Sus scrofa: one gene and its partners. The protein of the gene in region 1 interacts with the protein of each later gene in a pairwise test. Links are inferred from orthologs where the notes say so. Each region holds a gene or a part of one and is shown in the gene's direction. Other genes may lie near its edges. The genes, in order: TRIM27, KANSL1, MRRF, DMRT3, BAG5, CWF19L2 and EHHADH.

What was found.
Region 2: the proteins of TRIM27 (region 1) and KANSL1 interact in binary tests that used the Homo sapiens proteins (3 or more experiments, as listed by UniProt). The two-hybrid records come from large-scale screens. The link is inferred for Sus scrofa from reciprocal best matches to the Homo sapiens genes TRIM27 and KANSL1.
Region 3: the proteins of TRIM27 (region 1) and MRRF interact in a two-hybrid assay, tested with the Homo sapiens proteins (2 studies listed by IntAct). The link is inferred for Sus scrofa from reciprocal best matches to the Homo sapiens genes TRIM27 and MRRF.
Region 4: the proteins of TRIM27 (region 1) and DMRT3 interact in binary tests that used the Homo sapiens proteins (3 or more experiments, as listed by UniProt). The two-hybrid records come from large-scale screens. The link is inferred for Sus scrofa from reciprocal best matches to the Homo sapiens genes TRIM27 and DMRT3.
Region 5: the proteins of TRIM27 (region 1) and BAG5 interact in binary tests that used the Homo sapiens proteins (3 or more experiments, as listed by UniProt). The two-hybrid records come from large-scale screens. The link is inferred for Sus scrofa from reciprocal best matches to the Homo sapiens genes TRIM27 and BAG5.
Region 6: the proteins of TRIM27 (region 1) and CWF19L2 interact in binary tests that used the Homo sapiens proteins (3 or more experiments, as listed by UniProt). The two-hybrid records come from large-scale screens. The link is inferred for Sus scrofa from reciprocal best matches to the Homo sapiens genes TRIM27 and CWF19L2.
Region 7: the proteins of TRIM27 (region 1) and EHHADH interact in binary tests that used the Homo sapiens proteins (3 or more experiments, as listed by UniProt). The two-hybrid records come from large-scale screens. The link is inferred for Sus scrofa from reciprocal best matches to the Homo sapiens genes TRIM27 and EHHADH.

The regions. Positions count from the first base shown.
Region 1 is NW_018084804.1:137,972-142,503, forward strand, and holds the start of TRIM27 (zinc finger protein RFP), read left to right. Parts: upstream 1-1,297; 5' UTR 1,298-1,679; coding exon 1,680-2,099; intron 2,100-3,253; coding exon 3,254-3,349; intron 3,350-4,532. UniProt on the Homo sapiens protein: E3 ubiquitin-protein ligase that mediates ubiquitination of various substrates and thereby plays a role in diffent processes including proliferation, innate immunity, apoptosis, immune response or autophagy.
Region 2 is NC_010454.4:17,089,902-17,093,963, forward strand, and holds part of KANSL1 (KAT8 regulatory NSL complex subunit 1), read left to right. Parts: intron 1-2,842; coding exon 2,843-2,964; intron 2,965-3,544; coding exon 3,545-3,602; intron 3,603-3,791; coding exon 3,792-3,904; intron 3,905-4,062. UniProt on the Homo sapiens protein: Non-catalytic component of the NSL histone acetyltransferase complex, a multiprotein complex that mediates histone H4 acetylation at 'Lys-5'- and 'Lys-8' (H4K5ac and H4K8ac) at transcription start sites and promotes transcription initiation.
Region 3 is NC_010443.5:262,354,341-262,359,186, forward strand, and holds the start of MRRF (ribosome-recycling factor, mitochondrial), read left to right. Parts: upstream 1-1,653; 5' UTR 1,654-1,775; coding exon of another isoform or gene 1,776-1,807; 5' UTR 1,808-1,997; intron 1,998-4,846. UniProt on the Homo sapiens protein: Responsible for the disassembly of ribosomes from messenger RNA at the termination of mitochondrial protein biosynthesis. Acts in collaboration with GFM2. Promotes mitochondrial ribosome recycling by dissolution of intersubunit contacts.
Region 4 is NC_010443.5:220,818,603-220,821,692, reverse strand, and holds the end of DMRT3 (doublesex- and mab-3-related transcription factor 3), read left to right. Parts: intron 1-171; coding exon 172-1,136; 3' UTR 1,137-2,168; downstream 2,169-3,090. UniProt on the Homo sapiens protein: Probable transcription factor that plays a role in configuring the spinal circuits controlling stride in vertebrates.
Region 5 is NW_018084979.1:2,107,049-2,111,784, reverse strand, and holds the start of BAG5 (BAG family molecular chaperone regulator 5), read left to right. Parts: upstream 1-1,648; 5' UTR 1,649-1,966; intron 1,967-1,984; exon of another isoform or gene 1,985-2,458; intron 2,459-3,439; 5' UTR 3,440-3,467; coding exon 3,468-4,736. Other genes in the region: APOPT1 (apoptogenic protein 1, mitochondrial), read right to left, coding at 1,458-1,580. UniProt on the Homo sapiens protein: Co-chaperone for HSP/HSP70 proteins. It functions as a nucleotide-exchange factor promoting the release of ADP from HSP70, thereby activating HSP70-mediated protein refolding.
Region 6 is NC_010451.4:35,982,729-35,986,790, reverse strand, and holds part of CWF19L2 (CWF19-like protein 2), read left to right. Parts: intron 1-351; coding exon 352-507; intron 508-3,376; coding exon 3,377-3,457; intron 3,458-4,062.
Region 7 is NC_010455.5:123,152,014-123,156,075, reverse strand, and holds part of EHHADH (peroxisomal bifunctional enzyme), read left to right. Parts: intron 1-2,447; coding exon 2,448-2,620; intron 2,621-4,062. UniProt on the Homo sapiens protein: Peroxisomal trifunctional enzyme possessing 2-enoyl-CoA hydratase, 3-hydroxyacyl-CoA dehydrogenase, and delta 3, delta 2-enoyl-CoA isomerase activities. Catalyzes two of the four reactions of the long chain fatty acids peroxisomal beta-oxidation pathway.

The DNA.
Region 1 (4,532 bases):
CAGCAAGATAATGCTCCTTAGGGCTAAGGACTGGAATGTAAGGGAAAGATAATATTTCAAAATAGGAGACCCTCACTCTATGGAAACCTGAGATTATTCAACATATTTTAGCATATGTTACCACCCTTCGGCTGATTTGAATGAACACCAAGGCAGTCCTAGTTTGACGTCATAGGGTCAAATACTCTCCTACCCAATACAAAGGAGGAGCTAGTGATGTGAGCCTGAGGTCTACCTGAAGGATGAGGAAGAAGGTGGTCTTCTCCTACTCCCCACTTTCCTTGGATGACAAAAATGTAGCCCACCGAATTCTTGGAGAAAAGCCTCCTCACCTGCCTCCTCACAAGCATCTTGTATCTTAATAAATCTATTTCTTGCCCATCACTTTGCCTCTCAATGAATTCCTTCCTTCTGCCCTGAGGCACAAAGAACCTGAGCCTCAGTAAGTCCAGACACCAGGGGAGTGATTCTAATTAAAAAACTGTGGGTTCAAGTCCCAATCTGGGTTTAGCCTGGGTTTGAGTCGGAGGTGTTTTGGTTTCAAGTGTTCTACACAAGGCAAAGTTAAAGAAAGTCTAGATAGAAAATAACCAAGTACTAGAATTTCAGGTTCTACGTGAACATGGGAAGCCTGCTGGTAAAGAGAGAGTGATGTCGCCAGCTTGTTTGGGTTAGGAGTAGGCCTTGTAGAGGGCTGCAGAGAGTATAGCTTGAGCCAGAGGCAGAGAGGGAACTGAAGCTCAGAATGGTAAACCATTCTGCTTAGGACAGTAGGAAGTAGCAGAACTGGGCTTGTCTGTTTCTGTTACAACAATCTTGCCTTCTGATAATTAAGCCTTTCTTTTCCGAAACAAAATTGCGACTGCCTGTTAATGGGGTTGTTAGACAAAGCTTCTCACAGACTGGGTGGGGCTCAGTGGGCTACCCCCCACCCCTCCGGCCTCCCAAGGAGGCCAGATGTCTCCTCTTCCCACGCCAACACAAAGCTAGCTTTCTCTCGCCGTTGCTGAGGCCTGGGCACCAGGCAGGAAGCCCAATAAAGGACTAGGGGGCTAGGCCCAGGGCCACGGAAACTCGAGTGGGCCTGGCGCGTGCAGGCAGGGGCTACCCTGTCTCCGTCGCGCCCCGCGGACACCGCCTGCCTCGGTTACCTGCTCCTGAGGCTCCCCGCCCGGTCAGCCCCAGGGCAGCGGGCAAGGCCTCCCAGGTCCTAGGAGGGGAAAACTGCCCAGCCCTCAGGCCAGAAAATCGTGCGGCGCCGGGTGGCTCGGGCCAAGCCCCGCCCCCGCCCCGCCTCTTCCGCTCGCGCCGGGGTGGGGTCTGTGCGGCCGCCGGGACCCGCTGGGACAAGGCCACGTTGTCTCGCGCCTTCCTAGCGCCCGGCTCCTGGAGTCCGACTGGCGCAGCCTCTGGTTCGCGACCCCCTGGCGTAGCTGTCGGGCTTCGTGGGGCCGAAGTACCCCCACGTCATTCGGCTGGGCCCCGCGGCCCGACCACCCCCGGTTCCAACGCGCGGGCGCGTCTGGGATCAGGGCCCGGGAGGCGCCGCCCTCCGTCAGCCGGGCTCGCCTCCCCGCGCCGCCCCGAAGCAGCGAACGGGAGGGAAGAGCCGTAGAGTTGGGCTCCTCGCAGGGCTGGGCTCAAGGGCCCATGCCCGTGCGCCCCCGCGGGCCCGCGCCATGGCCTCCGGGAGCGTGGCCGAGTGCTTACAGCAGGAGACCACCTGCCCCGTGTGTCTGCAGTACTTTGTCGAGCCCATGATGCTGGACTGCGGCCACAACATCTGTTGCGCCTGCCTCGCCCGCTGCTGGGGCGCGGCGGAGACCAATGTGTCGTGCCCGCAGTGCCGGGAGACCTTCCCGCAGCGGCACATGCGGCCCAACCGGCACCTGGCCAACGTGACCCAGCTGGTGAAACAGTTGCGCACCGAGCGGCCGTCGGGGCCGGGAGGCGAGATGGGCGTGTGCGAGAAACACCGCGAGCCCCTGAAGCTGTACTGCGAGGAGGACCAGATGCCCATCTGCGTGGTGTGCGACCGCTCCCGCGAGCACCGCGGCCACAGCGTGCTGCCGCTCGAGGAGGCGGTGGAGGGCTTCAAGGTGAGGGCCGGGCGCGCGGGCCGGGGAGGGGCTGGAGCGCGAGTCGGACAAAGGGAGTAGAGAGCCAAAGGGGCTTCCTTTTTTCCGCCTAGAAAATGGCTGAGCCGGACGTGTGGTTCACAGCCGTCATTTCCTCTCTGTCTGCTCCAGAGCCTCGGCACTCAGATTTGGGAGGAAAACCTGTAGCTGGTGAGGAAGCCAGAAGTCTCCCCACCCCCACTCTTCTTTCCTTATGTGCCCCTCTGTTTCCCCGCTCACCGGCACGGCCCATGGAGACCCCCTTCCCTTGACTGTACAAAAGGAATGCGTAAAACCATGTACGCATCTGCAAGCTTCAGAGACACTCTTACTCCTGATGGCTCCTAGATGATCTCAGACACGACACAGTCGGACGTTAACTGGCTGTATACACATCTAGCAGATGGCCATCACCTCTCCTTTCCCCACCACTTCCCTATGCTCCATCTTCTTCTAGAAGCTCACGGAAAAATGAGCTCCTTACTGCTTAAGTCAGTTAACCACCGTGAGACTCAAAGGAGGTAACACAGTTATGAAGATTGAGTGAAGTGAGCTGATGTGTGGATCCCTTTGTAAACTCATGAAACAGCAGACGGGCGCAGCTAAACAGTAACATGGAAACAAAGTATTAAATATAAAACAGTTGTAAGGCAACATTCAAGGAGTGCATGATCTGTGTGTTTGAGGACTGCAGGAACATGTACATGTTTGACTGTGAGTACATTCATGCAAAATTATTCACTTAACATTTATAATGCTTTCACATCATTTTACTCACCCTGGTGATAACCCTCCAGGAGGCTGAGAAAGCGGTGTTTGCCCATGTCAATAAGAAAATAAGAGCTGTTAAATCTTCTCAGTATGCGACTGTGAAAGAGCGACAACTCAAAGCCACCTAGTCCAGTCACCTTTCCACTAAGCCGTGGAGTATCCTTACCCACCATTTAAGATACAAACTACCAAAAGAGAAGTGTGGTGACCTCTGTGCCCTGGTGACGGCAGTGTAGTCCAAGGACGGACTCTAACCAGGGACTTGGCATCAGAAATGTGGGTTGCACATGTGATAAGCAGAGTAGCCATATTGATGCTAAGGTCTGCCTAATCTTGAACTGCCCAACTGTTTTTGCTTTTCTCAGGAGCAAATCCAGAACCAGCTGGACCATCTAAAAAGAGTGAAAGACTTAAAGAAGAGGCGTCGGGCACAGGGGGAGCAGGCACGAGCTGAACTCTTGGTAAGACTCGATACACAGATAATGTCAGTTCTGCTGGTCACTCTTTTTTTTTTTTTGCAAGGCTTGTGCAGTCAGGTCATCCAGGTTTGGGTGGAACAAGCTTACATAGCAGGTGAGAATTCACCTGGAAAACCAAGAAATTACTACATTTTGGAGGAAAGGTGGGAATAGCTGAGTTTAAAACCCCTGGAGATAAATTTAATCCTCTAGCTTTGTGTAGACCATGATTGATCCTTGACAAAGCTGATACAGGTGAAATTCTTGGGTGGTTAGCCTCCTTTGGTACCATTCTGCAGACAGATGGTTTTCCATGAGCCCGACAGTTAACTTCTTGCTAGAAAGTTCCTTTTCTTGGCAATGTTTCAGTTCTAAACTTTTCACTTTGTTTCCTTCCCCTATCATCTCAAGGCCTTAGCAAGTGGCTGATGTGCTAATTTGTGATAGGGATGTTTGGGGGTTTTGTTCTGAAAAACGAGACAAAAATATGAAGATTTTTATAATATATACTTATATGTCCAGCACCTAGGTGTTTTCAGTATCTTTTTGAACAATAAATAAAATATTACAAATTCTCACTCATTAGAAGTATTTGCATCTGAAAAGCAAAGTCTTAGACTAGTAGTGTCTGGCACCATCTTGTGAGAAATTTTGTCAGTCCCGGACAGGGTATAGTAAAGAATTTTTGGATTTACTATACCAAAAATAGTATAATGAAACTTACTCTCACGATGCCATAAAATCCCATCACTTGTTTTGCACACAAAATCCACTGAGACGTCAGCTCCCCTGCTTGAAAATAGATCTGATGGGTGGAGAATCTTCTGGTAAACTTGAGTGGACTCAAATAATTAAGCATACAAATCAAGGTTATTTGAGGACCATTGTAGACATTTTGGCTGTGTGCTCCAGATCATCCTCCATGGGGCACACGTCAGACCATGTGACTTCCCTGCTAGTCTTTCATGGCTCCCAGTTGCTGTTAAGTCCTTGCCCTTTAGCTTGCCAGGCTTCAGGGCTCTTACCTTTTTCTAGCCTCTTCCCCAGCACTTATGTGCTCCAGCCATACACAACCATTTTCCTCCCCTTCCCACTCATTAGATTTGCCCATGCCATCTCTTCTGCCTGGAAGGCTCTCCTGCTCTTTGACCACATGGCAAACTTCTATTCCTCTTACAAGAATCTT
Region 2 (4,062 bases), on another chromosome or scaffold:
GCACATATACCTGTTGCTGCTTTGTGCCCGTTAAGAGGGTCCTTTATATAGCAGTCCTCATCGTAACAGCCAAAGGCTCCTACTATAGTGCTTATTGTGTCAGTGCTAAGTTATTTTAGATGCGTTACTTCATTCAGTCCTGTAATGCCCTTTGACATGTAGGTGGTATAAAAGATTCCCATTTTGTTGGCAGGGAAACGGAGACTTGCCAAGGTTAAGTGAATTGCCTGAGGCAAGGCAAGTTGTGAGGGTTACAGTTGTGACTCCGACCCAGGCAGTCTGACTGCAGAGCCAGCTCTTGTACCTGACCATCGTGCTACACAGTGAGAGCCTGGGTTGGGGCACTGCAGAGGTGACTTATGCTGGTGCTCACTAAGCTCCTATTGCATATTGTTCTGACTCTTAAATGATCTCGTTTCTCCCCCCTTTCACCTCGCACACTATAGGTTTTATCTCAATAGATGTGTAGAATCTGTCACACATTCAGTTGTCCATTGGCAGGGAGTCTTGGAAAATGAAAGGATTTTAAAGAGACTTATTATAGAGGCTCGGCAGGTTAGGGATCTGGCGTTGTCACTGCTGTGGTTCAGGTTCGATCTCTGGTCCTGAGTGTCCTCATGCTGCAGACACAGCTCCCCTCCTCCCACCCAAAAAAGGGGGGGCGCTTATCCTGATAGAAGATATTCTCTAATTTCTAGGACTTGGTGAGACTTCACTTTTTTTTTTAACCTGCCAGCACTCATGTGTCTGGCAAATGTAAACTTAGGCCTGGATCGTTTAAAATTTTTACTTATTTAATGCATACAAATTTTGTATATAGCACTATGCTGACCCTTAAGGCTCTTACTGACAAATTTCTTCAAAAGAATCTGGATTTATTTAATAGCAAGAAGAGGGACAGACCAGATAGTTAATAAGAGAAGCTACAAGACACTGGAGAAATGGCAGGGGAAGGGAGGGATGGGGGCATATGTGGTAGTGCTTCAGCAAAAGCCACAAAAGCTGATGGATGCATCCGAATCACCTCTGTGTGCCGCTGCCACCCCCCTGCCCCTTATTTGGAAGCCCTGAATATTCTGATTTGATAGTTAGAAAGGAGGGGACCCTGGAAGGTTTTTTGTGTGTGTTTTGTTGTTGTTGTTTTAATTTATTCTTCCTCTTGCTTCTGATGTGTAGCTAGGTTTGGGCACCACTTTGCATTCTCATCACCTGCCTTCCACCTGTGGCTCTAAACAGGAGAAAGTAGTTAGTTACGTTAGACCAAATGAGTACCTGGTGGAACTGGGGCATCTAAGTGTGGGGTGGAGGCTGGAGCCTGTTGAACCTCACAACCCACACCTGTCTCTTTGCCTTGAAGGTACTAAGAGCAGGCCCAAGAAGATTCAGGGAAAATACATAGCTGTTTCTGCCAGCAGTTTCACATTCATTCTCGACCAAAATATAGGGAAAGTGTCTCTTGAGGCTTCCTTAAGGTACACTTCCTATAGTGGGACGCATGTGTTCAGCAGAGATGAGGCAGTGGCAAAGGCCTTGGGGTATGAGGTCACTGAGCTTCAGCTGCAGAACTCAGCCAGGCAAGACATCAGCCGTTTTGGTTAACCAGTTACCTTAAATTTGTGCAGTCAGCATCAGTCTGTTCTTGCTGATAGAGGAAGAAACTGAGGTGGAAAAGACATTGTTTTAACCTGAAATCATAGGTGACAGCAACTAAAATCCTGGCTCAGGAAAGCCTGCCTTTCAGCATTCTCTGAGAAGGCCCTGCAGTGATAGGATGGACCAGTCATGGATGCCCCTCCAGGAACAGGGAGTAGACAGCTTAGTTGTGGGGAACAGCCTCTTTCTCATCTTCCCTCACTAACCCCTTGCCTCTGGGCTGATCCCTGTTGGTGGTTTGGGTTTGAATACAGCCTCTTAGGTGTTCACAGCTGTACTGTTGCCATGGCAGCATGTTTGTCATCCCCACTATTTCCCTCTGGCCCCTCTCAGCTCAATTGTCAGTCCCTATTGTAGGGCAGGGTGTTTGCTATCAAGGCACAAGGCCGCTCATGGACTTGTCCCTCCATCTAAGAAACCATGCCCTTCGGCTCCTTGCTTTATTCCTCCTGATCTCCCAGCTGCTGCAGATGCCCACCTCCTCCTCTGATACTGGCTGGATCTTCGTTAGTCTTCTTTCCTGAGTTTGATCTTAACTTCCTACAGGGACGAATCTCCTTTCTCTAGGAGTGTGAGCTGTATAGCCCGGTCCTCTTCATCCATTCCCTCCACTCATCTCCATTGATATAGTTAGAAAGCTCCCAGCTCTTTCCCCAAGAATAATAGCCAGGAAGAGGAAATCACGTAATAAGGGCTGGGTACAGATTCAGCTGAAGAGTTCAGACCCACGAGAAGGAGGTGCTTTCATGACAACCAAGGTTAGATGATCCATTGAGCTGGGCCTGTCCTTTGGGCGTCTTTCAGGATAAGGGAATTCTTTTTAACCTCAAGAGTCACCACGAGGCTTCAGCATTGCTTTTAGGGGCCATCATGGGTCTACATCATGGACAGGAATGAAGGGGGAACAGAAAGGATTTAGTCGGGGAGGGAGTAAAAAGGCGTGTGTGGAGGAGCAGAAATGGAGCAGCTGCCTGGAGGAGGAGGGTGGCCAGTAAGACTGGGGCAGGAGCTGCTCCTCAGGACCACCTGGTATTTTTCCTGAGCACTTTGCTGTGGGGGATCATCTCCTAGGGATTCTGCCGTGGTCGTCCCTACTGGGGTTATTGCGATCCTGTTTGGAATCTCACACGTATGATTTGATGTTTGTGGAACTGTTCCTCCCTTTTAAACGTAACCTTTGTCTTCACAGCAGCCAGTGAGGAGGAGAAGGGGCGAGAGCTCATTCGATATTAACAACATCGTCATCCCAATGTCTGTGGCTGCAACGACCCGTGTAGAGAAGCTGCAGTACAAGGAGATCCTGACTCCCAGGTAGGGGTCCTGGATGATCAGCTCTTCCCCTGGTCTTCCTCTTAGTACCTCTTCCTCTCTTCTTGTCGCTGAGCTTGGGGCCCTCACCTTGGCTTCTGTCTTCTCCTTGAGAGAAGGTCCACCTGATTAGAGTGAAATTATTTCTGTAGATAATTCTCTCCCATTATATGAGCACCAGCCAGACCTCAGGCCACAAACTGGCTATGGTCATGTTTTGTTTGACATATACAAGTGTCTTTTAAAATACGGAATTTGTCGTCAGCATCAAAGCAAGGTTTCACATATGAGTCTTTATTTCCAGCTTTTGTTGTCAGATTCAAAGATTGGGCAGCCCTGTATGTGCATTCCCCTATGGGAGCATCAGCTGGACCCCTCAGCTTCCCAGCTCTCATCTCACCCTCGGCCTGCTGCCCCTGTTCGTGGGCATTTGAGTGTGGAGCCTCTTGTAGAGGCCTCCAGGGCTGAGAAGGCCCAGCATAGAGGGGTGTCACTTGCAGGCGGAGGGCTCTCACTCTTACACAAATGTATCCTGCCCCAAACTGCCTGCCACCTCACGGTTGTCCCTTTCTGGTTTTTGCAGCTGGCGGGAGGTCGATCTTCGGTCTCTGAAGGGGAGTCCTGATGAGGAGAACGAGGAGGTAAGGGTGTGGTCCTTCCCTCTGGGAGGAGCACACACTGCAGATGCCTCAGGACCTGTGGCATCAAGTGCAAGCTCACTGTATTCCTGCTGTGACCAGGAAGAGCCTGCTGTGGGGTGGGGCGGCTTCTAGAATTGACCTACCCACACTTCTGGAGGAAAGAGGGGCTCAATGAATGCTCTTTTGCAGATCGAGGACCTTTCTGACGCAGCCTTTGCCGCCCTGCATGCCAAATGTGAGGAGATGGAGAGGGCTCGGTGGCTGTGGACCACGAGTGTGCCACCCCAGCGGCGGGGCAGCAGGTGATGGGGCAGGCACAGGCCCCTAGGACCTGTGGAGGGAGGGTCAACAGGGAGTTTGGGCCCTAGCTGTGTCCATGGAAGGCCACTGCCCTTAGTTGCCCTTCGTATTCGTTCACTGGGGATAGCCAAGAATGCAGAAGTTCCTGGGTGTTTGTTGG
Region 3 (4,846 bases), on another chromosome or scaffold:
GGCCTGGGCAGATGGCAGGCTGTGCCAGACTTCAGAACTCCTTGCTAGAAAAAAACATGGGTCCTATAAGACCAGAAGTGCCTTTGAGATCACTGCTGTAGGAACTGCGTCTTAATAACAACAGCTGCCATACTGAATGCTGGCGTTATCTCTTATTCACCTCAGCACAGCCTCTACAGTCTAGCACACAGTAGCCCCTAGATATTGTTTGTTAAATGTGTTTATCTACCCCTCCAACACACAAGGGCGTTCTTCTTCCTCTCTCACATGTTCAATCTGTTCTGTAATGTGTGAAAAGCAGCTACCAGCTGCTGAAAAAGAGAAATGAATAAGCCACAGTTCTTGCTTTTACTTCCTGGGAGAAAGGAGAAATAGGCATGACTAGAATCCCAGGCATGGAGGTTGGGGGAGGAGAAACATTTTGTCTTCTCCTGGATTTCCTTTCCTTCTACTTTCTTACAGACCATTCATTCAAAAAAGCCTGTATTTTCCAGGCATCGTCTAGGTCCTGGGGACAGAGCAGTGAACAAGCAAGGTTTCTGCCTTCTGGATACACATATTTAGAAAAGGGGCAGGACAAAACAAATGCAAAATAAATATACAAGGCGTAATTTGTGATCAGTGCTGCAAACGTAGTTAAGCAAGGAGATCTGACAAGGAGATTGGGGCTGGACTACTTCAGAATGAGTGGAAAGCCCTCTAAGGGAAATGACATTTGAGACGAGACTTGAATGTAGACCCTTCTGACTCTCTCATGTCTAAAAACAGCAATAAATAATACCAACAAGTACTTAATACCACACAAGTGAATCATTTTAAGGGGAAAGAGTACAGGGTATGGGGCCAAAAGACAGGCACTCAAATACTGGCTTTTGCACCCAGGATTTATTATTTTGTGACTCAAGTCGTGATCTCCCCTCAAGTGTCCTCTAGCCCTAGAAAAGCTTTCCCTTAACAGAGTAAGGGCATCTTGTTAGTCTCTATCACAGGCACTTTTTCTTTCCACTCAATACCAGTTCAATGCCTTATACGTTGTTTTATCTTTCGTTTCCCTCACTAGAAAGTAAGATATGAGAAAGTAAGCTACTACTGAGCAGGGTCTTGATTATTTTGATGATTCTATCCCCCTCCCCATCCCCGCACTTAGTACACTGGCTCCTGGCTGGTGCTCAAAGTTTAGTGAATGAACGAATGAATGAAGCAGGCAAGCCATTTCCCCACTTGGAGCTTCCGTTTTTTCTTCTTCCTTGATATGGGCATTATTATCCTTATCTCGAGTTGTTATGAGGCTAAAATATGGCAATACATTTGATAAGTTGGCACAGAGCTTTTTGAGAAATGGTAAAGTGTGATAAGTGATTAAGATGGCATGCAACTATCTCAAAATTCTTGGGTTTGCAATGGCGACAACCCTTCAGATTCACAGTTCACAAAACGCTTTTTAGCCTTCCCCCATCCCGCCCCCGCCCAGCTGAGCTATAACTACCCTGGAAGCCAAGAACAGTCATTTGGGAAAACTGAAGTGCAGAGAAGCAAAGGCGCTTCTTCTTAAAAAGCTAATGGTAATGGTGGGGTCAAGGCTTGAATCCCGGCTTCCCGATCCCTGGCCGCGAATTCCCAGCTGCGAGGGGTCATTACTCGGATTGATATTTCCGGGCCAGCGGCGGGACGATCCGGGGCGGGGTCTGAGGAGCCGTCTCACTGGGGGAGCCTCCGCTGGGAACTCCTTGTCGGGCCGGCGCTAAAGGGTAGAGGCGCGTTGTGGCCGGACTCACCTCGTGACTTCGGAGTCCTCTCCTCGGCTCATGCCCCCAAAGCAGGTCCCGTCTCCGCGGTCCCACGGCCCTCTACACCCGTCCACCTCAACGCCGCCAGCTGCCAGGCCGCCCTTGACGCACTACGCCTGCGCCGCCGCACCGCCCCGTGACGTCACGACGCCCGCGCCGCCTCCGTCGCCGCGGTCGCGCGAGTCTTCCTAGTACCCTGGGAGCTAGCTGGTGAGTGTCCTCGGTATAGTCTTGAGGCTCGCGCGCCAGAGACTTCTGCTCAGGGACTTCTCAGGGGACTGTTAGGGCCCGGAACACCGTTCCCGATGCATTCCGTTGGAATCCGGCTTGACCTTTACAGATGGGGGCGGGACTGGTAGATCCGAGAGTCTCACGGGTTGGGGGCGGGGCTAATCGCATCAGCTAGGAACTTCCAGGATGGGAGGCTTAGGTTACTAAATAGTATCAGGTACTTAGTTGCCCGCTACCTGGCAGGAACATTTAATTTTCTGAACAATCCCGTGGGAGGTTTCTCCCCATGATGGAGAAACGGAAGCTCGAACGAGTAATTTCATCACGGTCACGCGGCTAGTGAGTGAGGGGACTCAATTCCAACATTACTCTGTGCCGTCCAGTGACAAAACAGTCATTTCAGTAGCCCTTCTATATTGGTAAAGTGCTTCTGCAGCTCTTATCTCATTCGATCGTCCCGGTAACCCTAACAAGTCGTATTGTCATCTGCAGATGAGACTGAGGCCAAGAGAGTTTGACCTATGTAAGGTCACATACCCAGGAAGTGCTGGAACCAGCATTCTTTCCCAGGTCTTCTCTGAGTTGGATGCTTTTTTCCACTCACCCCACTCTATTGCATTCTCAGAATCTTGAAGGCTCTATAGCTAGAAAGAATGAAAGTCTGGTCTGACTCTTCGTGTTATAGTTGAGGAAACAACCTCAGAAGAAATGACTTGATATAAGTCGTCAGCGGCAGAGCTTTCACAAATACTTTTTGAATACAGAGTAGTTATGAATCTAAAAAGGATAGTTGGCAGGAGTGATGAGATAGGAATATCGGAATCCAGGCCTCCTAGCTCTTAGGCAAAGGCTCTTTCTCCATCTGTTAAAGTGTCTTATCCTTCCTTTAGCTGTGCCAGGGATGTGATCTTATATATAGTCAGATACTATAAATGCCCTCACAAGGCACCGAATTTAGAGAATAATATGCCTTATTATCTCTAAGTGAAAAATCTGTCAACCAAGAGACACTGGAAGCAGTTTTGGGAAACAGAGCCCAGGACCTACTGTCCGGGGCTTAGATTTCAGTTCTGGTGCCAGCATTGTGACCTTGAGGAAGGACTTAACCTTTCTAGACTTTCACTCATCTTTCATCACATTTATTCAGAGTCTTCTGTGTTCAGGAATGTGCTGGAGACTGGAGACACAGCCATGAACAAGACAAGCATACATTAGTCCTTGTGGTGCTTATAGTCTTATGGGGGGAATTAGACCATGATCAAATAACTGCACAAATATTAGCTGATATTGTTAAAGTGCCATGAAAAAGTACAGGGTGTTATGAAAGTGGGCTATAGGACATTTGACTTGTTGGGCTAGAGGAGGCAGCCAAGGAAGGCTTCCTCTGAGGAAGTGATGTTTAAGCTGCAGTCTGAAAGGAAAATGTGAGGTTGTTCATTAAAGAGGTGTGGGAAGACCTTTGCAAGCAGATGCAACAGTATGTTTGAAGGCCCTGAAGCAGGAGGAGTATTCACGGAAATGGAAGATCAGTTTGCTTCTTTGTAAAATGTGGGTGGTAATCATAACCCTGGTTATTGTGGGAATCAGGTAATACATATGAAAGTATTTTATGTACAGCAAGGGTCTGTGTGTATTATTAGCGTATTATAAGCTAATACACGACTGGATTGGTAGGGGTTGCTGGCGTAGTGGATGAGCCAGGACGTGTGTTTTCCTCATCTAGTTCTTTACAACATTAAAATGTGCCTTCTATGAAAAACAGGACAGTTTGGAGTTCCCGTCGTGGCTTAGCGGAAATGAATCTGACTAGCATCCATGAGGACGCAGGTTTGATCCCTGGCCTTGATCAGTGGGTTGAGGATCTGGCGTTGCCATGAGCTCTGGGGTAGGTCATAGACTCGGCTCAGATCCTGCGTTGCTGTGGCTGTGGCGTAGGCCAACAGCTATAGCTCCGATTTGACAACTCCTAGCCTGGGAACCTCCACATGCTGTGGGTGCAGCCCTAAAAAGACAAAAACAAAAAACCACAAGGAAAATTCAAGTTTTGAGAACCTCAACTTTAGATAGAGATTATGTACTTCTGTAATTTTTAAAAATATTTCAGTAGTTTGAATAACAGTGCCAGCAACCATACTGTTTTATATACACAGTATAGGATAGTGGTTAAGAGAACAGATTCTGGAACAAAATTGCTTGAAATAAAATCTTGGGCAAAGGATTTATCCGTGCCTCTGTTTCTTTATCCATAAACTGGATTATAATAATAGTACTTATCTCCTAGGCTTATCATGAGGCTCAAATGAGTTCATGTATGTAATATAGCACTTAGAATTCTTTCTGGCTCATAGTTATCAGTGTATAATTATAAGCTATAATTTCACTATTATTATCATTGTATTTTTATTTTTTTTTATTTTTTTCTTTTTTTCTTTTTTGTCTTTTTGCTATTTCTTTGGGCCGCTCCCACGGCATAGGGAGGTTCCCAGGCTAGGGGTCGAATCGGAGCTGTAGCCCCCGGCCCACGCCAGAGCCACAGCAACGCAGGATCCGAGCCGAGTCTGCGACCTACACCACAGCTCACGGCAGCGCCGGATCGTTAACCCACTGAGCAAGGGCAGGGACCGAACCCGAAACCTCATGGTTCCTAGTCGGATTCGCTAACCACTGCGCCACGACGGGAACTCCCTTTTTTTTTTTTTTAATCATTGTATTTTTAAAGGTTTATTAATATCTCCATGAGAAAGATGTGGAAACTGTAGCTCAGAGAGGCCTATCATCTCCCCAAGGTCACACAGCTAGGAAATGGGCTAACACAGATTCCAGTTCAA
Region 4 (3,090 bases), on another chromosome or scaffold:
TTTTTATTTTTTGCCATTTGCCAATCACATAGTTGGGATTTTTAAAGGCTGGCAGTATGTTATAAGCCGCTTCCCCTTTTAAAAAGCCGGCGTAGGACCCTCTCTTGAGCACATCTGTTCTTCTTTATGCACACCAGGAAAGGATTAACCCAGCTGCTCTGTGCTTTTCAGATCTGGCTGAAGAACGGCTTGGGGACAGCAGCACCACCGACAACACAGAGACCTTCAGCGACAAAGACACGGACCAGAGGAGCTCCCCGGATGTGGCCAAAAGTAAGGGCTGCTTCACCCCTGAGAGCCCTGAGATCGTGTCAGTGGATGAAGGCGGGTACGCGGCCCAGAAGAACGGAGGCAGCTCCGAGAGCCGCCCTGACAGCCCCAAGTATCCAGGGGAGCAGAACCACCTCCTGATCGAGGGCCCCTCGGGGACCGTCTCACTGCCCTTCAGCCTGAAAGCCAACAGGCCGCCTCTGGAAGTGTTAAAGAAGATATTTCCCAACCAGAAGCCCACGGTGCTGGAGCTGATCCTCAAGGGCTGTGGCGGCGACCTGGTGAGCGCCGTGGAGGTCCTCCTCTCCAGCCGCTCCTCCGGCTCGGCCGCAGAGCGAACTTCAGCAGAGCCCGAGGGCCTGGTGTTACCCTCCAATGGGCACATCTTCGAGCACACGCTGAGCTCCTACCCCATCTCCTCCTCCAAGTGGTCCGTGGGCTCGGCCTTCAGGGTCCCAGACACGTTGAGGTTTTCCGCGGACTCTAGTAACGTGGTCCCCAACCCCTTGGCGGTGCCCCTGCAACACCCCTTCCCCCAGCCGCCCCGGTACCCTCTGATGCTGAGGAATACTTTGGCGAGAAACCAGTCGAGCCCCTTTCTGCCCAACGATGTCACCCTGTGGAACACCATGACGCTGCAGCAGCAGTACCAGCTGAGGTCCCAGTATGTCAGCCCTTTCCCCACCAACTCAGCCAGCGTCTTCAGAAGCTCACCTGTCCTCCCTGCCCGTGCCCCAGAAGACCCTAGGATTTCCATCCCTGAGGATGGGTGTCCCATTGTGTCAAAGCAGTCCATTTACACCGAGGACGACTATGATGAGAGGTCTGACTCCTCAGACTCTAGAATACTCAACACATCATCTTAGAAGTGGCGCCTGATGGGTGGTGACCAGGTGACATTTTCTGTGCATTTGAACCCCGGGCTCCCCCTTGAGGAGGGCCCACATCCTGTGTATACCTTTTCCTTCTGTTTGACAAAGTGACTGTGCTTGATTCTATACCTTAGCAATAAAAACATAACTTATTTAATTTCTTGCACTTCACTGGAAAATGCCAAATAGCTCTGCTCTGTGGCTTTAGTGCTGAATGTTCATTGTAAAAGAGAGTCTAATGCTAAGAATAGGCGAGAAAGCCTTGGGCCCATGGAAGATTTATTTGGGGATGTAAAGCTGAAGGTCAGCCTTGCTCCTAAACTCAATCTGGAATGTTCAATAAAATAGTATACTTGAATGCAATTTTGTAAAGGAGGATTCCTCAGGATATGTGAAACCTCAAGGAAGTGGTTCAGTTGCAAACAGACTATAAACAGGGACCTTATATTCATGTGCTAAATATTCTTCTTGCATTTTAAAGAGAAACTGCATTTAATAGAGTGAACTGCTCTCATGCTTATTTAAGCTTGGACAGTTTTCAGAGACAAACTCCATTAAGAATTATTCTTTTCACATGGCTGAATCGAAACATGTGTTATGTCAATGTAAAACCAATCACAGCTGTGAACTGCATGAACTGTATTGTGAAATGAACACAAGATTAAGCTTTGTCAGGTTAATGTAGCATGCTAAGGAGCCTAGGAAAAAAATAAACTAAGGAGATGATCTTGGTTTATGTCATTTCTGTTTGTTGAAAGAGGATGTCTAAAATAGAAACTTGATATAAAAGCTGCTTTCTAATGCATGGATCAAGGTTTCCGTTGAATGCGACATTCCTCGAGAAAAATGAATGGCAAAGTTTTGGGGACTGCATTCAGAAAGATAGAATGTATTGTTCAAGAATAGAGATAACTCAGCTATCCATCCATTTGTTTGTTTCTTCAAAAGATACTTATCGAGAGCCTACTATGTGTAAGACAAGGCTCTTTGTCTGCTATTGACCAAGTTACCTGCCCATGAGTTGAAGATGGCAGGGATTACATGATGGAGAATCTCATTAAAAACAAAGTAAAAATGAAACAATCTGCAGTGTGGGAAGTAAGCACAGTGCTTAGCATGGTACCCAACATAGAGACAGCACTCAATCAACGAGAGCAGTTCCTCCTATTCAGTTCAATATATTCTGCTATTTGCCGTCAGGATGCAGAAGTGAATTTCCTCATTCTCAGTTGGAGAAGATGCCATTGCAGTTTAGGAGGTGACTGCAACAAACCATTGGAAACAGGGCTTTTCCCCTTCATTTAAAAAAGCATTTCAGGGGGAGGACACTAATATGGCAAACCTCTTGCTCAGATATTTTTATTTTATTTATTTCATTTGTTTTTATTCACTTTTTTGCTCAGGTATTTTTAAAAGTGAGTTTTAATAATGTGCAGTGGTGTTCCCACCAACCATTTCTTACTGTTTCCACTCTCCTGAGTGCTTGAGAAGAAAGATGACTGCTCAGGTCAGACAATAAACTTATGAACGTGGAAGGGAAAGTAAATAAGAAAATAAATAAAAGCCTCTACATGACAAGGATGCAGAGAGAGCTCCCAGGGCAAGAATAAGTCTCCAAATGTTCTTCAGTCTGGGAGGGAGAAGGGTAGATCCTCTTGGCCTGAGATGCTTCCTCGGCAGGGGATAGGGGCTGATGTCAGCTGCCCCTCGGCCTTGCCTGGGTCCCAGGAGAAAAACAGGTATTTTAAATAAAATCTCATTTGTATTTCTATTGGGCACCTTTGGAATGAGAAATCCTTATACTAGGGGAAACATTCCTTATATTAGTTGGACTAATGTGTACTTAATTGATGTGATTACATACCAGAGTTTAAAAAAGGAAATGATTTGTTGTTAGAGTTCTATTTAAACAGTTTGCATAAAGGAAGAAATAGAGGGGCTGGAGAGG
Region 5 (4,736 bases), on another chromosome or scaffold:
TAGCAAAAAGACAAAAAAAAAAAAAAAGAAAAGAAAAAAAAAAGGATGCTTTCCAGCCTTGCTCCTTAACCTATTGGTTTAAACCTTAACCTGCTCTCGTTTAAACTTTTTTTTTTTTTTTTTGGCTTTTTTTGTTGTTGTTGTTGCCATTTCTTGGGCCACTCCTGGGGCACATGGAGGTTCCCAGGCCCGGAGTCGAATTGGAGCTGTAGCTGCCGGCCTATGCCAGAGCCACAGCAACTCGGAACCGGAACCTGAGCCACGTCTGCAACCTACACCACAGCTCACGGCAACACAGGATCCTTAACCCACTGAGCAAGGGCAGGGATGGAACCTGCAATCTCATGGTTCCTAGTCGGATTCTTTAACCACTGAGCCACCATGGGAACTCCATCGTTTAAACATTTTATCTGCAGCCCATTCCACACCCTTGGTCCACATTTTCATGTGACTGTTGGTATCAAAGTTTAGGACTCCCTTAAACAAAACGTCATTCCCCAAAGCAGTGCAATTTATAAAAACTGCTACAGATATTAATCGTTATGGCTCTTCAGTCACAGATATACATATATGCACACGGTTTCCAAACCAAATGAACAAAAACATTCAACGTGAAGTCCTACAAAACAGTACGCCATCACTTGAAGAAAAGCGTTACTAATCATAAAGACGACACACACACGTGCTGCGCATGTCAAGAGCTCTTTACATGTAAAAGCCAGTTATCCTCGACAGAAAGACGGTACGTATAAACTTTTTTTTTTTTGTCTTTTCTAGGGCCGCACCCGCAGCACATGGAGGTTCCCAGGCTAGGGGTTTAATCGGGGCTGTAGCCACCAGCCTACGCCAGAGCCACAGCCACGCGGGATCCGAGCGGCATCTGCGACCTACACCACAGCTCATGGCAACGCCGGATCCTTAACCCACTGAGCAAGGCCAGGGATCGAACCCGCCACCTCTTGGTTCCCCGTCGGATTCGTTAACCACTGCGCCACGACGGGAACTCCCCGGTACGTATAAACTTGCTGGCCGGCTATGCTATTCTTTTATTCATTTATTTATTTTTTTACTTTTATTTTCTTTCCGCTGTACAGCATGGGGACCAAATTACTCTTACATGTATACATTTTTTCCCCCACCCTTTGTTCTGTTGCACGGCTATGCTATTCTTAAAGTTCTTTCAACAGCCCCGGGACGGCGGCGGCACCCTCAGTCCCACCTCCACAAGGGGATTGACGCAGGAAACTGGGGGGCTCCAGGGCTTCCCCGCGCTCCACTCGCCTGTCCCGCAAAGCCCGTGCCGGCTCCGGGTCCCCACGCCGGGGGGCTCAGCCGACACCGCAAGTGGCGCGTCGCAGGTGTGAGGGTCCCACAGGGGTCCCTGAGGGGTGCGGCCCGGGTCTGCCGCCCCTTGCGGTCACTCCTCCCGGCCCAACTTTTCCGGGAACCCCACTTACGCGGCTGGGCGCTGCATCCCTGCGCTCAGCGCTGCGCTCGGGGGCGAGCTGACAGCCACGGCCTGAAAAGGCGCGGCGGAGAGGAAGGAGGACCGTCTTGCTTCCGGGCCGCCAGGGCGCCATGGTCGCCGTCCGTCGGCCCGCGCGGCGCACGGCGGAGTCGCGACGGCGCTAGGGGCTGCCTTACGGCACGGTCGCAAAGCCCGAGGACGGGGACAGCGCGGCCGATCGTGCTCTTTCCCCGCGTGTGACCGGCTGCGAGGACGGCCGTCGGCTCGGGCGCGGCCGGGTGGCCGCCTGCTCCTGGGGCTCAGCCGTTCCAGGCTGACTCGCCAGACGGCCAGCGGCGGGCTTGGTCAGGGTCGGGGTGGGCGCGGAAGCCGGAAGACCTTTTCCCAGGGCGAGGGGCTGTTCGGCCCGGGGGCGGAGCTGCCGGGCCCAGGCGACGGCGGGAGCTGCGGCGGCGCGGGGCGTCGGCGGCGGAGTGCGCGATGGCGCGGGCGGCGCAGGTGAGCGAGAACCAGGCGGCGGCAGCCTTCCCTCGGCGCGGGCAGCAGGCGGGCGACCCCCGACTCGGCGCCCTTCCCCGTTGTGGCCGGGCCGGAGTGGGCGCCGCCCCAGCCCTGGGTCCGACGCGGGCCGGCCCTGGTTTCCGAGCCGGGCTCCCCGCAGCCGGCCCGGCCCGAGCCCCCTCCCTCCTCGCCGGCTCCCAGGCCCGGCCGAGCGCGGCCGCCCCCTCCCCCGAGGGCCATTGTGAGGTCAGGGCGGGCGGGTGCGTCGTGGGGTCCGGGCGAGACGCCCGGAGCGGCCGCTGCGGCCAGTAGCTGCCGCTGCCACTGCCGGCCCCTTCACCGGCTGCCCCGTTCAGATCTAGCCGGGAGGGGTGAGAGGGATGCAGCTGGGGGCCCAGCTCCGGAGCCGCACCCCGTAAAGGGCTGATCTTCCATCTCGCCACTTCACCCACGGGAAGCCAAGACCAAACCAGCTTAGACCTCTTCTGGGTAAAGTGCTGGGAGGGAAGGGCGGGCAGGGAAGGGAAGAATCGAGGCCGCCTGCTCTCCCTGGGCCTCCAGAGGCGTGTTCTCGGCTCGGACACCCAGAAGGGATTGGTTTCACTTGAGTACCCGGCCCCCTCCAAAGAGCTGATCGATAGAAACCCAGGAGCATGAAAAAAGTGCGTTGAGCCATTCTGGATTCCTAATGTGAGGCTAGTGAATGGATTGCTCAGAGTTGTCACATGCTTGTGCGATGTATTTCGGAGAAGGGGCAGGAGCATGATGGGGCCTGGGGAGGTACTAGGCCTCCAGAGCCCAGGGTGGTGCTTTGACAGTCCCAGTCGCCTTTCCCGTGGAGCCCTATGCCACTGTAGAGGAGATGTTAGAAGGGCTCAAAGGATGGAGAGGACGGTAGAAGCGGGGACTTGGGCGGTGTCTGCGAACCACTGGTGTTTGTTTCAGTGGCTCGGTTCCTTTTGTTTACTTTTTCCGGAAATTAGTCATAGCTCTTTGTAATGGGGTGAGAGGAGGGCCCTGCTTAGACGTACTGACCTGGAAGGTTAGCAGAGCTACCACAAAGGTGCCCTGCCGCGCCAAAAAAAACAGCTTCCAGTTTTAAGACCTCAGATACCTGCACCTTTTCCAAAATGTTCAGCTTCATGCCATACTTATGATGGCATATGTTGTTTGTTCTCTCTTACAACTGAGGAAACTTGAAGTTCACAGGCCCAGAGCTCCGGCTCCTATTTCCACTCGGCAGTAGCCCTGGTCTCAACCTCGGTGCAGCTGTTTAGCTGTTTTCATGAGAGGGAATTGATGAGTCGCTCTGATTTCTGTGCTTGGATTTCTTCTCCTTTGGACTGCAGTAGCCAGCCTTTTTTTTCGAGCCTGTCTTTTTAGAATGAGAACTGTAGAATGAATTGAATATGTGATTACCATGCTGCAGGCTTTGTAGTGTAATGAGTTATCGTTTTTGCCATCTTTTAGTGCTTGTGAAACTGAACACAACCAAAGTATGGCGATGGGAAACCAGCATCCTTCTATAAGTCGGCTCCAGGAGATCCAAAAGGAGGTAAAAAGCATAGAACAGCAAGTAACTGCTTTCAGTGGCCTGTCAGACGACAAGACGTACAAGAAACTGGAGAGGATTCTAACGAAACAACTCTTTGAAATAGACTCTGTAGATACGGAAGGCAAGGGAGATATTCAGCAAGCGCGGAAGAGGGCGGCCCAGGAGACGGAGCGTCTTCTCAAAGAGCTGGAGCAGAATGCAAACCACCCCCACCGGCTCGAGATCCAGCACATTTTCCAAGAAGCACAGTCCCTGGTGAAAGAGAAGATCGTGCCCTTTCACAGCGGCGGCAGCTGTGTGACGGAGGAGTTTGAAGAGGGCATCCAGGACGTCATCCTGCGGCTGACGCGCGTCAAGACGGGCGGCCGGACCTCCTTGCGGAAGGCGCGGTATCACACCCTAACCAAGGTCTGCGCCGTGCAGGAGATCATCGAGGACTGCGGGAGAAAGCCGCCCTCGCTGCCGCTCTCCGCCGACGCGCACCCCTCGGTGGCCAAGATCAACTCCGTGATGTGTGACGTGAACCGGGCCCGAGGCACGCTGATCGCCCTCCTGATGGGCGTGAGCAGTGACGAGACCTGCAGGCACCTGTCGTGTGTGCTCTCGGGGCTGATGGCGGATCTGGACGCTTTGGATGTGTGCGGGCACACGGAAATCAGGAACTATCGGAAGGAGGTGGTGGAGGATATCAACAAGCTGCTGAAGTACTTGGACTTGGAGGAGGAGGCAGATACCACTTACGCCTTCGACCTGGGCCAGAACCACTCCATTCTAAAGATAGAGAAGGTCCTCACGCGAGTGAGAGAAATAAAAAACGAGCTCCTCCGAGCCCAGAATCCCGCCGAGCTGTACCTGAGCTCCAAAACGGAACTGCAGGGCTTGATCGGTCAGCTGGACGAGGTCAGTCTTGAGAAGAACCCCTGCATCCGGGAAGCCAGGAGACGGGCGGTGGTTGAGGTGCAGACTCTCATCACCTACGTGGACCTGAGGGAGGCCCTGGAGAAGAGACGGGCCCTGGCCAGCGCGGAGCACCCCTCGCTCGCGGCCGTCTGGACCATCCTGGGGCACTTGTCAGAGATCCAGGAGGAGGTGCTCGCCTTCGACGGCAACCGAACCGATAAGAACTACATCCGGCTGGAGGAGCTGCTCACCAAGCAGCTGCTGGCGCTGGACGCCGTCGACCCCCAGGGGGAGGAGAAGTGCAAGGCTGCC
Region 6 (4,062 bases), on another chromosome or scaffold:
ATGACAAGGTTCTCCTATGGTGGAGTTCTTCCTTTTCAGCCCCTGGGATGGAAGAAAATGGATGCGAGAAGGCACACTACCTCTTAGTAACTACTTTAGCATGCAAGTGACATATATCATTTCCATGTACATAATACTGTGCAGATTGATTTGCAGTTTAACAAAGTGTTGCTTAACTGTGTGAAATTATGTAGTAGATTTAGAAAGTAAAGTAACTGTAAGGCAGTGTTACAGACTTGACATTGTTTACTATTTTTTTATTTTAAAGGAGTTTATTATACTTTTTATCGTTTCATATTTTGAATCACCTCTCAGTGCTTTATATTTACCGAGCCATTTTCTTTTCTTCAGATGTTCAGAAAATCTTTGGTAAAGATGTTCACAGATAAAGGATTGGACTGTATCTTTTTAGAAACTAATATGAGCATGAAAAAACAATATCATATGGTTTATGAATGCATTCCTCTCCCAAAGGAAGTGGGTGACATGGCTCCCATCTATTTTAAGGTATTCATAGATAGTCTTTACGTGCATAATTATTTTTTGCCATGATACTGTTTTATGAATACAGTTATCTTTATTCTGATGTCTTCTCCTGTATACTTAGATATATATCATATAAAGAAATGAAGTAAAGTACAAAAAATTCTTTTATATACATTTCTGTAGAAAGAAATTTGGGATTTGACCTTCAAAAAGCATGCTTTTTTATGAGTATGAATATACCATCAAATGGTAATTTTTAATTTCTATTTTAATTTCTCACTTCTCAAATGAAAAATCAAAATTTTTCTTTGACGTACTTTCAGGTCCAAATTAGTGATACTCTAGAAGATTTATCATTAAAATTCATAAGAGCCGAAGATGGTTATATGCAAACCGTACAAATAACAATTGCCAAGACAAGTTATTGATACATATTTTAGTATTTAATACCTCATCATGCTGTTTATAAAAAGAAATTAAAACCTAAACTTGACATGTGCTTTTGGACATGTAATAAATGACCAGAGTTCTTAAATCAATGTCGTTACTGACCTGAGTGCAGTATAGTTTATAGACTAATATAAATTTGTAAATGGAGAACCATATATGAAATAGTAACGTACAATTAAAAAAAGATAATGTTTTGTGAGGTGGTATAAGAACTTGCAAATGCAACATTTTGACAGTATAGATGATAAAGTTTAATTAATATGGACTGTAATTCCCGATAAAAAGTACTATAAAACCTGTTAAGGTTGATGAGGTGGTGAAAATCTACTTTTCCTATAGAAATTTTTAAAAAGAATTTGATTACTTAGTTTGAAGTCATGTTATTAACATAGGGAAGAACCAGCCAGGGAATCCCAAAACCCATGCCAGTCTTATGTTAAACAAAATCAGTTGACAAATAGATTATGCTTTTCTTCAGTGCTTGGGTTTTTTCCCCTTGTACTTCCTCAGTAGAGTCTTAGGTGACTGTGACTGTAGGCATGGAGCTATAGGGCACATCATAGGCCAACTACTCTTTTTTCTTTCTTTTTTTTTTTTGCCATTTCTTGGGTCGCTCCTGCGGCATATGGAGGTCCTCAGGCTAGGGGTAGCCGCCAGCCTACGCCAGAGCCACAGCAACGCGGGATCCGAGCCACATCTGTGACCTACACCACAGCTCATGGCAACGCCAGATCGTTAACCCACTGAGCAAGGGCAGGGATCGAACCCACAACCTCATGGTTCCTAGTCGTTTTTATTAACCACTGTGCCACAACGGGAACTCCAACTACTCTTTTTTCATGCTGGGGTGACTGAAATCTCATTTCTTAGCAGAATGGCATGTCACTTTTCTCCTCTATAATAAACCCTTTGTGTGATCATTAAAGATGTATTTATTTGATTTGGCTTCAATTTTATATTGAATGTGCCATTTTATAGTGTAAACCCAAGCAACCTAAATCTTTTAAAAAGGGAAGAACATATACCTGATCCAGTTAATTTTTGTTTTTTTATGGCTGCACCCACAGCCTATGGAGGTTCCCAATCCAGGGATTGATTCTAAGCTGCAATTGAGACTTAAACTGCAGCTGTGGCAATGCTGGATCCTTTAACTCACTGTGCCAGGCTGGGGATCAACCTTTACCTCAGGTTTGAGCCATGGGTGGGAGCTCCCAATATATTTAAATTGTGCTTATCTGGGTGTTAATTTCACCTCTTTTTTTTTTTTTTTTTTTTTGCCTTTTTGCCTTTTTGCCTTTTCTAGAGCTGCTCCCGAGGCATATGGAGGTTCCCAGGCTAGGGGTCAAATCGGAGCTGTAGCCGAGGGCCTACGCCAGAGCCACAGCAACGCGGGATCCGAGCTGCGTCTGTGACCTACACCACAGCTCATGGCAACTCCAGATACTTAACCCACCGAGCAAGGCCGGGGATCAAACCCGAAGCCTCATAGTTCCTAGTCGGATTCGTTAACCATCAAGCCACGACGGGAACTCCAATTTCACCTTTTAAATTTGCTTCATTAATAATGATACTGTATAAAAATGAGATTATTTTATATGCAGCACCCTGGTTTTCTTATTTCTTTTTCTTTTCTTTCTTTTTTTTTTTTTTTTTTGGCTTTTTAGGGCTACACCTGAGGCATATTGAAGTTCCCAGGCTAGGGGTCCAGTCGGAGCTACCGCTGCTGGCCTATACCACAGCCACAGCAATGTAGGATCCCAGCCACATCTCTGACCTACACTATAGCCCACAGCAATGCTGGATCCTCAACCCACAGAGTGAGGCCAGGGATGGAACCTAGTCAGGTTCATTACTGCTGAGCCAAATGGAAACTCCAGGCTTTCCTTTTATTAATATTTCTTTACCATAAATACTAGCCACATTGCTTAGCTTAGAAAGTCTTATAATTCCACTTCTATGTATTTTTTTCTCTGGCATTTTTATGCCTTTTTTATATGGTCGGAAATAGTTCAAGTATTTTGTTGCCAGAAAGCACGTAAGTTATTCTTATATTCAGAAGAAGAACAGTTAAACAAAATTAATTTATTTGAGTAGATGTCTGTGATTGAAGTAAGGAATCTGTGAAATTTTATGTTCACAAATTATGTTCAATTTTAATTGCTTGGTTTTACTAAGGATTGTTTTTGTCATGCAAAGGTGATCTCAAGTTAGTATAAGGGTTATTAAAAATGAGTAAAATAGTATAATCTTGGATAAAGATAGGACCTATAAGAAATCAAGAAATTCCCATTTTAAGTAACAGAAATTAAAGCCTTCATTCAAAATAATGACCTAACGTGTATTATACCACATAATTAATTCACTGTATTAATTTATTTTTAAACTGTCTCTTTGCATTTACTTGTATATTATTCTTTACTAACGAATGACTATTTCTTAGAAAGCCATAATGGAATCTGATGAAGAGTGGTCTATGAACAAGAAATTGATTGATCTCTCTTCAAAAGATATCAGAAAGTCTGTAAGTATTTTTTTTTAATATAAGAAATTAGCCTAGTGTTTAGGATCTTTGTAACTTTCAAAACTTATTTGGGAAAAAGGTCATTTGGCTGATTGACCAAACATGAACTAAGTAGAATTCTACAAATAAGGAAGAAATTATTTTCATCCTACTTGTTGTAGCAAATCTTTATTTGTTTAATTGCTTATTTGAATGTTTATTCCTGATTTTTTAGCTCTGGGATAGTATAGTCTCTTTACTTGGCTATGACATTCATCAGCCTCTGCCATTAAAGCTCCTTCACATGGGAGTTTCAGCCTCTGTGGGACAAGTGAGTAGAGAGGGACCTTCTTGTTACTGAAATTATAATGAGAGAAACATTTTCCTACAGACTCTCTTTTGAACTTGGAACTCTTTTGTCTCTCTCGCTCTCTCTTTTCTTTTTTTTTTTTTTTTTTTTTTTTTGTCTATTTGTCTTTTTAGGGCTGCACCTGCCACAGCATATGGAGGTTCCTGGGCTAGGGGTCCAATTGGAGCTGTAGCTGCCAGCCTATGCCACAGCCACAGCAACGCCAGATCCGAGCCACGTCTTCGACCTACACCACAGCTCACGGCAATGCCAAATC
Region 7 (4,062 bases), on another chromosome or scaffold:
TATGAAGACATTACTCATTATAATAATTACCATTTAGCATGCCTGCTATGTGCCGGTACTGTGTAGCTTATTTATTTATTGACGATGAAAATAGTAATATTTTTAAACACTTTATAGTTTAATCCTCAGTAAATCCTATAATTTCCATCTGCAGATAAGAGACTGAGCCTAAGATAGATTAAATAATGTGTCAAACATTAACCAGCTATTAAATGGCTTACTCAACTGTTTGAAGACTTGAGTTTGGGAGACAAGATGGTGCTTTGAGGCATGGAGTAAGGGATCAGAAGTATGAAAAGTCAGAATTGATATTTCTTTGTGGGAAAGGAGGTAGGAGAGAATGCAGTTAGGTTCAGAGGCAAAAACAATAATTGTCCTAGAAAAGCATTAGGGATTATCAGACTTAACTTAATGGACTTATATGGAACAATGCGCCAGACATTTGGAAAATATATATTCTTCTCAAATTTGCAACATTTACAAAAATTGATCAGGTACTGGATCATGAAAGCTTATCTCAAGAATTTCATTTAGAATGTGTTCTCTGACCATAATGCAGTCAAGCTATAAATCAATAACAAACTAACTAGAGATTCTCAAGTGTTTGGAAAATAAATCCATTTCTTAATAACCTCTGAGTCAAAGCAGAAATCAATGCAGTTTAGAAACTATTTTGAACTGAATGATAATAAAAACAGCTTGAGGAATACAAGCTCAAGCTTAGCAGGAAATTTATAGCCTTAAAGATATACATCAGAAAACAAAAAAAAGCAACCATATTGTGGTAAGCATCTATATCAAGGAACTGTCAGAACAGTAAAATAGATCCAAATGAATTAGAAGGAAGGAAGTAGTAGAAGAGAAATTACTAAAATAGAAAACAAATGTGAATCAAGAGAATAAAAATGTCAGAAGTTCTTTGAAAAGACTAATAAAACTGATAAAGCTTCAGTTAGACTTATCAAGAAAAAACAAGAAGGTACAAACAATACGCATAAAGAATGACAGATATCACTGCAGATGCTCTGGCCATTAAAAAAGATAATAGGAACAAGTAGAAAAACACAGCTTATAAAATTGACTCAAGAAAAAATAGGAAATCGTTAAAGAAATTGAATCAGTTTTCAGAAATCTTACAAAGTAAATTCAAGTCCCAGATGACTTAATTGGTAACCTTTAACTGAAAAGTCAAGGAAAATATTATTCTAATTTTACAGGAACGTTTCAGAGAATAAAAATAAGAGTTTTACTTCCTATATGAGTTTCCTGGGGCTGCCATAACAAATGAGCAGAAACTGAGTGACTTAAAACAACAGAAACATATTCTCTCAGAGTTCCATAGGCTAGAAGTTCAAAATCGAGATATCTGCAAGGCCAGTCTTCCTCCAAAATCTCTAGGGAAGAATCATTCCTTGCCTTTTACAGAGTCCTATGTCTGAACTAGTCACTTAACCTGAAAGCCTTAAATTTCCCTACCTGTAAAATGGAAACTGTTATACTACTTAACAATGTTAAGAAAATTAAATAAGGCAGTATATAAATCTACTTAGCACAGTGCCTGATATATAGTATTTATCTAATAAATGTTAATTGCTACTATTACATGAAAAACTATCTTGGGAGTTCCTGTGGTGGCACAGTGGAAACTAACCCAACTAGTATCCATCAGGATGCCAGTTTGATCCCTGGCTTTGCTCGGGATTTCCTTTTTTTTTTTTTTTTTTTTTGTCTTTTCTTGGGCCGCTTCCTGCGGCATATGGAGGTTCCCAGGCTAGGGGTCTAATTGGAGCTGTAGCCGCCGGCCTGTGCCACAGCCACAGCAACGCAGGATCCGAGCCATGTCTGTGACCTATACCACAGCTCACAGCAACGCCAGATCCTTAACCCACTGAGCAAGGCCAGGGATCGAACCCACAACCTCGTGGTTTCTAGTCGGATTTGTTTCCACACTGCCACGATGGGAACTCCTGCTCAGGATTTCTGATAAAGATTTGAGGATTTTCTCTCATGTCATTCAACATTTTCCAGGCTATTTGTTCCTTTACTGTGTCTGCAGCCAAGGATGAAGTGTTTCATGGGTCCAAAGAGGTTTGAGATTCCTTAAGAGTTATCTGAGGAGTTCCTGTTGTGGCTCAGCAGATTAAGAGCCCAACTAGTATCCATGAGGATATGGGTTCGATCCCTGGCCTTGTTCAGTGGGTTAAGGATCTGATGTTGCCATGAGCTATGGTGTAGGTTGCAGATGCAGCTCGGATCCCATGTTACTGTGGCTGTGTTGTAGGCTGGCAGCTGAGCTCTAATTTGACCCCTAGCCTGGAAATTCCCATATGTCACTGGTACAGCCCTAACAAAAGGGGGAAAAAAAAGAGTTATCTGGTTACTTTTTGTTTTATAGCAAAGCCCAAGTCTTCCTCTACTGTCTTTTTTCCTTGTCTTTGTATTCTTAGGTGCCGATATCCATGGCTTCAGCGCTCATAAAACCTCTGACTTAACACTGGGAGATATAGTAGATAAAATACAGAGATATGAGAAGCCTGTGGTGGCTGCTATCCAAGGCTTGGCTTTAGGAGGAGGACTGGAGCTGGCCCTGGGCTGTCACTATAGGATTGCCCATGCAGAGGTAACAGAGGGGATCTATAGGGGATTTGGTGGTGGGGCTTTTATTTAGGGCAAGCTCTAAATGTAGTCCTAAGCATCAGAGATGTTAATTTTAAAGGGTTGGCTTATTGGTTGACAACTCTTAGGTATTTCTAGCACTGGTATTAGCTATTTTGTACCAATACATTAGTAGTAGTTGTTGAAAGGTTGAAAATATCCATTTTATTTGATAAATAGCTGATACCCTGAGCCCATGACTGTCCTTCCACTTCCCCTAACCCCAGCTCTTGGACCTCCCCATGACCCACCAACTAAAGCGGAACTCCTGTTCAGACAGGACCTGTAGAATCCTGCTCTGTTACTGTGGCTCACATGTCAGATTTCACTGAGCCATGCTCATGCAGTATGAAGTATTAAATATTTTGACTGTCACCCCTGAGTATGCATACTTATTTAAATTTTCATTTCCTATCACAAACATTTCAGTTTTGTGGTCTCATAATTATTAGTACCTAAGACAAACTCCCATTGGAAATAGCACACAACTAGTAAATCCATTTATTTCTGGAAATAGATTTAATTTGGATTATTAGACATGTAGATTGAAGTTTGTGATTCCAGTCTTACAAGAGTATTTTTTTTTTTTTTTTGTCTTTTTATGGCTGCACCTTTGGCACATGGAGGTTCCCAGGCTAGGGATCGAATTGGAGCTGTAGCCATCAGCCTATGCCACAGCCACAGCAATGCCAGATCCGAGCCACGTCTCTAGCCTACACCACAGCTCATGGCAATGCCAGATCGTTAACCCAGTGAGCGAGGCCAAGGATCGAACCACATCCTCACGGATACTAGTCAGATTTGTTTCCACTGAGCCACGATGTGAATTCCAGTAATATTTTTGTAAATAATTCTTTTTTCTTTTTAGAGCCACACTGTAGCACATGGAAGTTCCCGGGTTAGGGGTCAAATGGGAGCTGCAGCTACAGGCCTATACCACAGCCATAGCAACACCAGATCTGAGCCTCAACTGTGACCTATGCTACAGCTTGCAGCAACGCCGGATCCTTACCCTGTTGAACAAGGCCAGGAATCAAACCCACATCCTCATACTATTTGGGTTCTTAACCCACTGAGTCACAATGGGGACTCCTATATTTTTCTAGTAATAAATATAATATTCATCATTGTAATAAATTATAAAAAATATGCATAAAAGTATGAAGATGTAAACTAAAGTCACCATAAACTCACAGTTCAGAAATAACCACTGTTAACATTCTGTTTTATTTCCTTCTGGTCTTTTTCCTGGGTAATATCTTTTTCTTACAGTTTTGTTTTTCTTTGCAACCTTTTAATTAAAAAACCCCCAATATTTGGAATTTTATTCTCCTTCATTTGAACTCTATTTTTATACTAATAGCATGTTTAAAGTGTTATTAAATAGTCTTTATCCATTCTGCCAAT